Linked DNA regions of Caenorhabditis elegans. The protein of the gene in region 2 interacts with the protein of the main gene of each other region in a pairwise test. Each region holds a gene or a part of one and is shown on either strand. Other genes may lie near its edges.

What was found.
Region 1: the proteins of F47G4.4 (region 2) and mei-1 interact in a two-hybrid assay, tested with the Caenorhabditis elegans proteins (2 studies listed by BioGRID).

The regions. Positions count from the first base shown.
Region 1 is NC_003279.8:8,292,904-8,297,440, forward strand, and holds mei-1 (Meiotic spindle formation protein mei-1), read left to right. Parts: upstream 1-1,970; 5' UTR 1,971-1,978; coding exon 1,979-2,155; intron 2,156-2,205; coding exon 2,206-2,544; intron 2,545-2,590; coding exon 2,591-3,318; intron 3,319-3,637; coding exon 3,638-3,821; 3' UTR 3,822-4,037; downstream 4,038-4,537. Other genes in the region: npp-2 (Nuclear pore complex protein Nup85), read right to left, coding at 1-9, 62-597, 644-737; abts-1 (Anion exchange protein), read right to left, coding at 4,391-4,501. UniProt on the Caenorhabditis elegans protein: Catalytic subunit of a complex which severs microtubules in an ATP-dependent manner. Microtubule severing may promote rapid reorganization of cellular microtubule arrays.
Region 2 is NC_003279.8:14,062,781-14,070,816, forward strand, and holds the start of F47G4.4 (WD_REPEATS_REGION domain-containing protein), read right to left. Parts: upstream 6,024-8,036; 5' UTR 5,986-6,023; coding exon 5,973-5,985; intron 4,896-5,972; coding exon 4,780-4,895; intron 3,767-4,779; coding exon 3,509-3,766; intron 2,975-3,508; coding exon 2,834-2,974; intron 2,780-2,833; coding exon 2,632-2,779; intron 2,580-2,631; coding exon 2,479-2,579; intron 2,066-2,478; coding exon 1,886-2,065; intron 1,839-1,885; coding exon 1,701-1,838; intron 1,386-1,700; coding exon 1,087-1,385; intron 1,030-1,086; coding exon 698-1,029; intron 651-697; coding exon 486-650; intron 438-485; coding exon 265-437; intron 214-264; coding exon 109-213; 3' UTR 1-108.

The DNA.
Region 1 (4,537 bases), 5.8 Mb from region 2:
TGTGTTAGCCTGAAATAAGAATATTACGAAGTTTAAGAATTATTATATAAATGGGTCTTACTAATGCTTCGTCGACTAAGTTTTCGGGATTGAAGAATGTGAGAGCCTCAATGAATGCATCACATTCTGATCCGCCTCCATGTAGCTCCAACAGTTCAACACAATCGCTGAAATTGCAACTAAGCAAGCTGACTGCTACTCCCTTCCAATATTCTTCTGGAATCGTCTTCCCCGGATGCAGATATTCCACAGCTGATTCCATGGCTCCTCTAGAAAACGTGAAGCTCTGATTGGCCCATGAAATAAGATCCGCACATATCGAGCTATCACCTCTTCCAAACCATAATTTCTCGTAAAGTGACCACAAAGCAAAGTCTGTCATGAAGTCGGAACTGCTGTGAGACACGGCGGCATTGTAGAGAACTGAACGATAAGCTCGAGAGAATGTGCAGCAAGTAGGCGTGTCTAGAGGTGCATCAGGTGAGGAGCCTTTTTGACATTTATCAAATACAGAATACATTTCGATAACAAGTCGTCTGAGATTTGGTGTCGCAAGAATTTGTCGATTTTGTGAAACTTTCTCGACCAAGACTGTTTCTGAAAAATCTCTTATGTTGGAAACTGAAGAAGATGCAATTTTTACCTTTATTTGAAAATCCTTTTTTATCTGTTAGGAAGGCGAAGACCGTGGAGGAGTCGCTGACAGCTATCCCGAATTCTCGAGCGACATCCGTCATCTGAAAGAGATACTAATGTCATGTGAAGTGGTATTAAAAATATAGTAAGCACGGTAGAAACATTAACTTATAAAATTGAGATTTCTGATAAATAAAATTTTTCCGGGAGTTCTGTAAAACTTCTTACGGTTTTAACTTGATAATTCCATAGGGTTTAAAATTTCCTTTTGTTTCTTGAGTTTCTTCTCGGAATTTGAACAAAAATAACGCGTTTAATCTCGAATCAGTACAATGATGGACTACACGGCAGTTTTAAAAAACCAATTAATAATAATAATCCTAAAAAATGAGAAGAATATTTAAGAAAATGTAAAAGTTTTCCGCGGAATTCCGCTAAAATTCGAAAATTGAAAGTGTTCAAATTGCAAGCGATTGTGCATTCAGACGTGACAGTGTCTGGGGTGTATTGCGTACTCGACATTTTAACTGACGACACTTGTACTTTTGCGCCATACTTCCGGAGCTCCAGCTCCGCGGAGCCCTGAGCAATTATTTTTTTACTTTTTATGAAAAGCTTTCTATAGATATCTTTTAAGAAGTTACACTATAATTGTGCAAATCAAACTGGCTCCGGACAACACAAATTTCGTCTATACCTTTATGATCTTTTTTTGTTAAACAAGTGAAACAATTATTTCCTTTTCAAACTGCTCTTGTTTCTTCTCTTTATTAATCAATTTTTTTTTTTTTGCTTTGTGTAAATTAATTGTTTGTCGCGGATGAGCTAATTCTGAGGTTTGACCAGCAGAAATCTGTTTTCTGAAAAATCAATAACTCGCCGCTTAATTTTGGTTTTATTCAAGTGATATGCAATTAGAAGGTTCTAATCATTTATATCTCGCTGAAAGATCTCAGATTTCAAGCCTTTTGCTAAGGATTTAATTCCTAAAACTTTTTTTGACCTATCATTTTTTGTGTGATCTACCGCTGTAAATACTTGTTGTTTTGCGGCTAAACTCTTTCAATGTTTCCAACAAGTGAGCCAATATCAAGTAAAAAAAGAAAAATCGTTTTCTATTCAACCATTTTATTCTGTAAATAATATTAAATTCATCTTCACGGTACAATCTTCTTCTCCCATCTAATAAAGTCCACGCACACTCCGTTCCGTCGTTTCCCTATTCGTTATCATTCATCATCTTGCCATTTTCTTCTCCGCCAAATCCCATTGTCTTATACTAAATTTCATCCTCTCGTCTGTAGAAGTGTATATTATTGAAAAATTAAAGTATATTTTCAGGATGAATGGGGATGTGCAGTCAGTCATTCGCGGATATCTGGAGCGAGCCCAAGTCGCGAAAACAATGTCCGATGCCGGACGATGGAATGAGGCTGGTGATCTTCTTCGTCAGCTCATGACAGATGTCAAAAGCTGTAAAATTTCGGCAAGCAACAGAGACGAGCATGACGCAAGAAATGTACGTAATATAAATCTTTTAAAAGCTTGTTGAATTATTTGAAATTTCAGACATTCCTACGAGCCCTAGAGGCTAATTTGAAGCTTGTCCAACAAAATGTGCGCGATGAAGATGACCTACACGAGGCGATGACGCGACAAAGTGGAAGTCCAGAGCCACCTGCAGACCCAGATGTTTGGTCCAAACCATCGCCACCGTTACCATCCTCATCGAAATTTGGAGCAACAAAGAAAGGAGTTGGAGCAGCAGGTCCACGTCCCAGAGAAATATCAAAGTCAACGTCGTCGATGAGCACGAATCCGGCTGATGTGAAGCCTGCGAATCCAACACAAGGAATACTGCCTCAAAATAGTGCTGGAGATTCATTCGATGCATCGGCTTATGATGCGGTAAGTTATTATGTTTTCCAGAAACAAAAATCAGAAATCTTTTCAGTACATTGTTCAAGCGGTGCGTGGTACAATGGCTACAAATACGGAAAATACAATGTCTTTAGATGATATAATCGGAATGCACGACGTGAAGCAAGTTCTGCACGAAGCCGTCACTCTTCCACTCTTGGTGCCAGAATTCTTCCAGGGTCTCCGTTCACCATGGAAAGCAATGGTTCTCGCTGGACCACCTGGAACTGGAAAGACTCTTATCGCACGTGCGATTGCTTCAGAGTCTAGTTCAACTTTTTTTACCGTTTCCTCGACTGATCTGTCCAGCAAGTGGCGTGGTGATTCCGAGAAGATTGTTCGTCTGTTATTCGAACTTGCACGGTTCTATGCTCCATCCATAATCTTCATCGATGAGATTGACACACTTGGTGGACAACGTGGAAATTCTGGAGAACACGAAGCGAGTCGGCGTGTTAAATCCGAGTTTCTGGTACAAATGGACGGGTCACAGAATAAATTCGATTCGCGACGTGTATTCGTGCTGGCCGCCACAAATATTCCATGGGAGCTCGATGAGGCACTCCGAAGACGTTTCGAAAAGCGAATCTTCATTCCACTGCCAGATATAGATGCAAGAAAGAAGCTTATCGAAAAATCAATGGAAGGAACTCCGAAATCCGATGAAATTAACTATGATGACTTGGCGGCAAGGACTGAAGGATTCTCAGGAGCTGATGTTGTGTCTCTATGCAGAACTGCTGCTATCAATGTGTTGAGAAGGTAGGTAGCAGGAATGTGCAGAAAATCTTTTTGGAAAACGTGCTTGTTTCAATAAGATAATCCAATATTTCGAATCAAAAACTGGTATAGAAATGGCAACTTTCATGCACTATTTAATGTTTTTAAACGCTTGTAGACAAAATTAAATAACATTTTAAGATGAAATGAACCGTTTTTATAAATTTCGATATCAATTTAAGATTGAAAAGTTGGATTATCATAATTAAAAAAAAGCCAATTTTGTACGTTTGCTGAAAAAATTTTGCTAATCGCGATGTTGCAACACTTTTTTCAAGAATCGACACTAAGAATCCTTAAGATATTTCAGATACGACACCAAATCATTGCGAGGCGGGGAACTGACAGCTGCAATGGAATCACTGAAAGCCGAACTCGTGAGGAACATTGACTTTGAAGCAGCTCTTCAAGCAGTTTCACCAAGTGCTGGTCCAGATACAATGCTCAAATGCAAAGAATGGTGTGACTCTTTTGGTGCCATGTAAATCAACTATTTATTGTGATCTCCTTTTAGTTTAAAATATTGTGGCCTAGCTTTGGTTTTTGAAACTCTGAAACATTGTACAGATAAAATTTTCAAGGCCACCTTCATCCAAACATCTCTCCCCGATTCACTCTTTCCTGTAAAATACTTATTGGTTAAATTTGTATGTAAAATGAATCATTTTGCCACTCACTGGATTATTTGGAAATATATAAAAGTTCATTTGTGAAAGAAATATAAGAAAAGAAGACAGTGAAAAAAAACGATACAGGAAAGAAAATAAACATCGATTAGAAAAGAAACTGAATAAAAAACCGCCCTTATGAAGGGTAACTATTAGTGGATAAGTGTTTAGGAAATTTCATGTGTGAATTTTAATTGTCTAAAAGGTTAACATTTTGGAAGAAGAAAGATCAAAAAAAAAAGAAAGCAAATTTTGTGGAACACGATTCTCTTACGGGGGATAACAAACGGAATTATGACGGTGGACTGTAAGGAAAAATTGAGAAAGATCTGTGATGGGCTGGACCACGATAAGAGGAAGTGGGGAAGGCTTTCAAATTAGAAAAATTAGACTTTTGGTTCATCTGGATTAGTTTTTGGTGGTTCCTCATCCTTCAAAAGTGGAGTATTTTCAGTTGTTAAATTCGATGTCGAAGTGTGTGGAGACGGACGAATTACCTGAAAAACAGATCGTTCAGATATTTTACTAAGTTT
Region 2 (8,036 bases):
CGTAGAGAAACCTGAAAATCTCTGACCCAAATGACTGAAAGACAAGACAAAAGAACAAAAATGCGAGTGGTGGTGGGAATGCTTAACAATATATCACAGATGAGGTAGCTAGATCTTCTTTAAAAGCTCTAGAATCGGGTCGAGTTTGAGAATGGATGGCTCGTCGAGTTGTTTGTAGTACCAGTCGCGTTTTTTGACCAGGGAGCGGAGGTGCTGGAATTATTTGTAGGGTTAATAAGGGCAAAACCCCTACAAGATGCCTACCTGAACACATGCCTTCGCCTTCTCGGCCCTCTCCTCCGCCGCCACATCTACTCCTATCCTATGGGAGTTCATGGACGCAAACTTCACGAGCCTCTCCCCCAGGGTGTCAGCGATCGCTGCGAGACCCTCCAGGGCTATAGCTCGATTTGTAACGTCTACACTGGCTATGTTGTCTGAAAGTTCAAAACATCATTACGACCTTCACTACCAAGCAAGATTACCTATTATGACTGGAAGGTAGGCATGACAGCTGTTCAATGACCAATCGTTCCTCCTGCTCAGTATCCTCGTGGCGGTTAACACTAGTTGCTCATCGGAGCACACTTCTGGAGGGATATCCACGTTGCTCGTTCGACGGGAGGTAAGCATCTTGAGCCGTCGGATGTCTGAATTCCAGTAGTTAACGCTTCAAGCTAGATCCTAAATAACTCACTTCTATTCTCCTTCTTCGCAACTATCCCGATGTCATGTACAGTTTCTATACAAGCTCCCCAGACCCCTACAGGCGTCTTGGCCGACGTGGTAGAGGTCACCGATGACGTGGAATTCTGGCGTCTGGCAGTAGGCCCTGAAGCGGTGGAGGAGGCACGCTTGGCCGGGGAAGAGGTGATCGCGTAGATTGACGGAGGGGAGGTCTTCTTCGCCACGGAAGGCGATGGGCGACGGTTGCGGGATGTGGAGGAGGATACTGTAGATGCGACGTCTCCTTCGCTAGGGGTACGTGGGCGGCCAATGTAGGTGATGGTGATGGGCTCTTGGTTACGGCTGGAAAATTGGAAAGTTTTAGAGTTTTGAAACTTTACTTCCTCTAGTCCTGCTTACCGGCTCGACGTTGACCGCTTCTTCGGAGCCCTCTCACTCAACAAAGACGTCGTAGACCCTGCCATCGACTTTGTCGTCCTCAAATCCGACATAGAAGGCGACGGATTCGCGCGGTTATTGTACCCGCTTAGTGATGGCTTCGACGAGACAATCACACTCTTTGCGGTGCCAAATGTTCGAGGTGGCTTTGTGGAGACTGGGGTCACAGAGCGTGTGGACCCCGCTGGTTTTGGGTTCAGGGTCTTGGTCGATTTTCCAGGAAGCTTCTGAGATGCCGATCGGTGTTTGACGGGAGCTGGCTGTAAGATTTAAGAGGTTGGATGTCAAGCTGCGGCTGTTGGAGCAGGGGAGAGGGAACTCCCTAGAGGGTTTGAAAATATATGGAGAGCTCTTTTAGGTTTTACAAAGCTCAAAGACTGTCTTGTGAGGAAGATTGAGGGGATTGAACTTAGATACAGACTTTGGTCTAAAACTGGAAAATTGCAATTGAGACTAACGACTTGAGACAGCTTACGAGTTTTTAGGCCAATAAAATGAGACTCGGAAGCCTTTTAAACTGGCCCAGAAGCAGTCCGTACTTAAGATATGGGCCTCTGACAAAAATTTATTCTTACCTTAACGGGACTAGTCGGGCTAGAATGGCTGCTGCTACTATTCACAGGTGACGCTGACGTCTCCGTCTCTTCACATGACAAGCCAGGCGACCTCGGCGGCAAATTCGATAACTCTGTGAGCTCCGGTAGCGCTTTTACCTGGAAAATTCCTACATTAACCCCAAGTACAAACCCAAAGCTAATACCTCATCAATCGGCGAGTTATCCACATCCTCATCCTCCTCGTAAATGCTCCCGCAGAGCTCGTGGCTCGGCGAATAGGAGAGCAGCTCTTCTATAGCGTAGGTGCGCATTTCGAGACGTTCAGTGTTGTCTCCAATGCAAATAAAGTCTAAATCCAGACCGTTTGCATTCACGTTGACGACCTGAAATGGCATGGAATTCATAACAAAGGGAAGAAGATTGGAATCTCCGCCAAAAAATAATCAATCATAACTGGCGTTGAAATGTTGGGTTAATGCCTTAAAATGAACATTTTTAGAAATTTGGATTCATGAAAATAAGATAGGAATTTGCTTTCCGATGTGACTTTTTGACTAAGTTTCAAGTCTATAGGACTACTAGTTGGCTAAGTTACAGAGCTAAGAAATTTGATGGCCAAGCCGCGACGCAACCGCAACGCGTGGGTGAAAGCTTACAAGTGTCGTCTAAAAATTTGAAGACTCTACGTCAACTGGTACGCAAGTTACAGGATCTTTAATACTAGAGCACACACTGACAACACTTTTTGCTCACATTTTTCAGTGAGCCAAAAGTGTTGTCAAGTTACTATCCCTACCTTCTCCACATTTTTCAGAGGTACTGTCGTTAGAATATCACAGCAGGGCTCCCAAGTGAGCAGGTTGATAGAATCATTGGTAGCAGCTATCATGACGTGGGCTGAAATTCAATTTTTTGATGTTTTTGGCCCAAAATTAAATATAATTCTTACTATCAAAAGCGCTGGCTTGAATATCATCCAGAAACGGATCGGATTGAGATATCATTTCAAAAGTCTCTAGGCAGAAAAACCGAACTATCCTATCATGACCAACGGAGGAGAGGAGCACATCGCTGGGGTGAAGCTCTAGTGCGTGACCCTGCAAAATTTGATTTTTTAAAAATGGTCAGAAATTCCAGTGAAAAGCACCTACCGAACAGTTAAAAGTTTTGATAAATTCCCGCTGCCTGGCGTCGAAAATCTGTATAGTTTCGTCGGTGCCAACTGCTACATAGCGATCACCAGGTGATAATGCGATACTTCGAACAACGCCAGGGGTTTTGGACCCGAAAATCTGAAAATCATTATATTTTGAAAAGTTTCAGAAAATTTGGGAACGCTTTAAAAAACTGCTTTATTTCAGATATGGTGATTACAAAAAGTTTCAGAAAATTTGGACCACTATGGGCTAAGTTATGTGGTATTGAAGTTTTGGGCGTGCGTCGCGTGTCGCGTCGCGGTCGATCTTCAAAATTAGAAAGTTTCTTTTACAACGCGCGTTGAAAGTCTATAAAAAAGTCTGTTTCTAGAGAATGCTTTCACAAAAAGTTTCAAAATCCTACGACGACTGGGAGCAAAGTTACGGTGCCATAAAATTTCGGCAGTGCGTCGCGTGTCGCGTCGCGGTCTACCTCAATTTTTAAAATGTCAAAGCTTTGCTCACAATTGAGTCGGAGGTGTGAAATTTGGCCAATAGTGTTATCTAGTATTTATCTGCCATTTTTGATAAAAATTTGGGCACGCGTCGCGGTTGCGTCGCGGCTCGGTATCACAGAGGATTTGAAGCTTGGACACTTTTTGGATAGTATTTTTGCACTTTTCAACTCACTTTAGACGGATTCATCCTAGTATCCCACTGCGTCCAATCACAATCCGATGACCCGGTGTACCAGCAGTAAGGGTTGAACTTGCTAGCGGCTAGGGAGGTTATTGGCAAGGTGTGTCCCGTTAGATTCCGCACCTCGTGACCTGTTATAATATCCGCAACTTTGAGAATCGCATTTGTCGCCGCACCGATCGTCCGTTCATCTGTGGAGAGTCGGAGGCACTCGATGGGTAGCTCACTGAGAGTTGAGGTGCTTGGGAGCTGAAAAATTTGTTTTTGTATAAATAGGTACATTTCAAGCTTTTATAGAAAATTAGAATGTGGTAAACTTAACAGAGTCACTCAAAAAATTTCAGAGCTCTAGGACCATTTTGAGCCAAGTTAGATAACCGCGACGCGACCGCGCCGCATGCGCCAATTTTCGATGCACCATAACTATGCTCCAAAGCGTGCCAGAGCTCTGAAATTTTTTCTGAAGTTTTAGATCGGCTAGAGCTATTCTTTTCAACATTTCCTGTCAAGTTATGAACCTATTGAAAATTTTCCAGCTCCCCCTTCCCAAAGACTTTTCAAATTCCCTGCCCAGCAGATCAATCATCTAGATATGGAACCCTTTCACACCCTTTTTCAATGTTCGCATCCCCATGAGAATTCCGGATCAAAACTTATCGCTGGGCAGAATCTTGTTATTAGAGAGGCGAGACGCAGAGACAGTAACACTTCTCAAATTGACAACTACGGTTCGATAAGCAGCGAAAGTGCCGAGGGGATTATTGACGGCTCGTTAGGTACAAAGAGGATTATACGGGGTGGGGGAAGATCGGAAGAGGAGGAAATTAAATGGGTGGCCGAAAATTTTTTTTGTTGCTTAAAAAGTTTAAAGCTAGATATTTGAATAGTACATGTAATTTTGAGGCTTCTGCAAAAATGTCAGAGCTTTAGGACCTTGGTGAGCAAATTTATCAAGCTTTAAAGTTTAGGAGGTGGCCGCGACGCGACCGCAACGCCTGGTCAAAATTCTAAAGCTTCATATCTTAGCTCTCAAAAGACCGAGAGCTCTGAAATTTTTTGACACTGTAATTTAGGTTTTTTCCAAAGTTTGACTGCAAACTGTGAACAATGTAAGATTTTTTAAAAATCTGGATAATCCTTTTATATCCGTCTGACCCCAAAAACGCCCCAAAACAATGAATAATTGCTCTGGAAAGAGACTCGCAACATGTGGTCCCACTCATTATAAGCAGATGGCCCTGGACTACAAAAAGAACACTTACCGGCTCAGAACACCCCTCCAGTGGAAGCACTTCGTATGGTCCCGCGCAGATGACGGAGCGGTGTCGACGCGAAAGGACTGCCGAATGGACCGTCGAGTGCGGTAGTGCCGATACCACTGAAAAATGGGAAAGGTTGCTATATGTTAAGGAGTTTCAAAATTTGGTTGAAGCGACGCGGTTGCGTCGCGGCCCAATGAATTGGTTGCTAACGATAATGAAAGCTTAATTTAAAATCAGCTCTGAGAAAAAATTTCAAAGCTGTAGGTCAATTTTGAGCTGAGTTACAGGGCTTTGAAGTTAAGTAGGTGCGGCGCGGTTGCGTCGCGGTTGAACTAGATACTTTGAAGCCTTATAACTCAGTGCAAAGTTAAGCTACGGCTCTGAAATTTTCAATATATACTAATCCAAAAGTGCAAATTTTTAATTTATAATTGGAAATTTTATATTTTGAGATTCGAACAAATTTTTTTTTTCTCCTCCAAATTTAGACAAACCCTTTGGGAATACATTTGTACTTTTATTTTTACGGCCCTCTTTTCTCTTAGAGGAGCATGGAACACATCCAATTTCCAATTTCCAGGCGGGTGCACCACAATACTAAAATTTAATTACTTTTCCACCCCAGAAGCTTGGGTTAGAGTTTACGTCATCAATTGGCATAGTTAGAGAGTTTGGAATAGATTTGGATGAAATTTAAAGTCTGATTGTGAGCAAAATTTTAGAAATTTTGGAGAAATATGTTTTTTGAGAAAAAAAAACATTTTTGGTCAAAAACTTTCAAATGTTCAAAATTGTGGTTTTTTTCTAAATTTTACTTATGACATTGTAAAGAGCAATATTTTATTAATTTTTACTGTAAAAGTACCTTAAAACCTATAGTTGTTACCCTATAAGATTCCAGTCAGCCTGAACGCAGTACCAACAAACTTCAGGCTCCTCTAACTCTGCGGAGAGCAAGGCTATCAAAATTTTGTCAACGATGAAAATGTTTATCACACAATTTTCTATGTTTTGATAGTTGGCAACATTTTAATAGCTCTCGTAGTTTTGGAGATATGAAAGTTTGAAAAAATCTCGAAAAAATTTTTTTTTTGAAAATTGGAAAATTTTTTTGAAATTTTTTTAGTAACCAGCATACATATGTATTTTTAATTAAAATTAGCATTTTCTAAATTAAAAAAATCAAAACCAACCTTCAATTTTCATGTTTTGTACAATTTGCTCCGCATGGGAAGAATATGACACTGAAAAAAAATCTTGAAATTAGCTGAAATTTCCAAAAATAACCGCAGTTTAAAGAGCTGTACAGTAGTGAAAAAAAAATAGAAAAAGTGAGAAAAAAAGAGGGAAATTGAATTTATAGAGCGTCGAGACAGAAAGAAGGGGGAAAATTTTATTTTCGGATTTTTTTTTCGGGAAAATAGACAAAATAGACACCAGGGTGTGTGTTTTCAATTAAAATCCTAAAACCGAACACCATGAAAAAAACATTGAAAAACATTGGAAAGAATCAATCCAATGAATTTTGGAAAAAGGGCCGAAAATAGATGAAAACAAGGAAGAACTCGAGGAGGGGGGGGGGGAGAGAAAAAGTGGCATAACTTCTGGGAAACTGAAGATTTTTAAAAATTGTCAACTATCAAAATGTTAAGCATAACATTTGCACCATTTTTTTAGTTGCCAACTTTTTGATAGCTGCCACCAATAAAAAGTTATAAAAGAAAAAACTACCATACCTCAAATTTGTGAAAAGTTATCAAAAAGTTGTCAATTTACAAAATGTTAAGCAAAAAATTTCCTTTATTTTGTTAGTTGACAACTTTTTAATTAATTCAGTAGTTTTTGAAATATGGAAGTTCAAACTAAAAATAAAAAAAACCACAACAATTTTTAATTTTTTTTGAAGTTGGAGTGATTTAAAACTTTTTTAAATTTGCTTAGTTTAAACAATTTTCAAAAATAAATTTTGAAATAAATTTTGTAGTTTTTAAAGATGTAACAGTAAAACAAATTTAAGATTTTTTTTTAATTTTCATTTTTAACCACATTTTTGAAACGTTGAAATCTTTTCCTATTATCATATTTTAAATTTTATTTTTACAATTTAACAAAATATGAAAAATTTGTTGAAAATATGATAATAGTTAAAGATATCAATGTTTCGAAAAGGTGGTTAAAAATTAAATAATTTTATATTTATAAAATTTAAAAATGATTTTTAAAAAAACTTAAAGTTTTAATAGATTTTAAAAGCTTTTCTTGTTTTAAGAAACTTCATATTTTTCAGCAAAAAATTCCCTCACAAAATGTTTTTTTCTAGTTTAGCAAAATTTTGCAAAGTAATTTTTTATCACCGAAAATGCTCTTTTTCGGTAGTCGAAAAGGAAAACTAGCGGAAAACGGAGCAAAATTCACAAAAAAAAAACACAAGAAAAAGCAAAGACAGAGAGCAAATAAAGTGAGAGCAAAAACGGAACGTGAGTGAGGAGGAGGAGTACATGTTTGCCATAGGGTACCCCCTTATCACTTTTTCGTAATAAATGTCACTTTTAAGGTATGAATAATGCGTAAAATACTTGAAAAGTTGGAGAAAATTGATTCAAAAAAATAAAATTCTATATAGTTGTGGCTCTCTAGCTTCAAAATAAATGAACATAGAAAAAATTGTCAACTAAAAAATTAATTGACAAGAAATTTGCTAAATTTTGTTAGTTGGCAACTTTTTGACAAGTCTCATAGTTTCAGAATTACAGGGGTTTGAAAATTTTGAAAAATGTTTTTCAAATTTTTTAAATCTACAATTTTAAAACTCATGTATCTCCAAAACTAAAACAGCTGTCAGAAACTTTTTAACTAATAAAATGTAGTAAAATTTTAGTTCTATAATTTACTAGTGAACTACTTTTTGATAGCTTGCAAATTGGCAAAGTTAAAATGGCTTCAAAATTTGCTCAAAAAAAATTTCAATTTTTTTTAATCTACAATTTTAAAACTCGTATATCTCCAAAACTAAAATATCTATCAAAAATTTTTCAACTGATGAAATGTAGCAAAATTTTAGTACTATAAATCACTAGTTAATAATTTTTTGATATCTTGCAAATTGGCACATTTATAGGCGCTTCAAACTATGCTCAAAAAAATTTTTTTCGGAAAATCTCGAATGTATACAAAATTAGGAACAATCAAATAATAATATAACTATGATATTATTAGGGTTGGTTGTTGTTGTACTGTTCTTCACCCCCCCCCCCCCC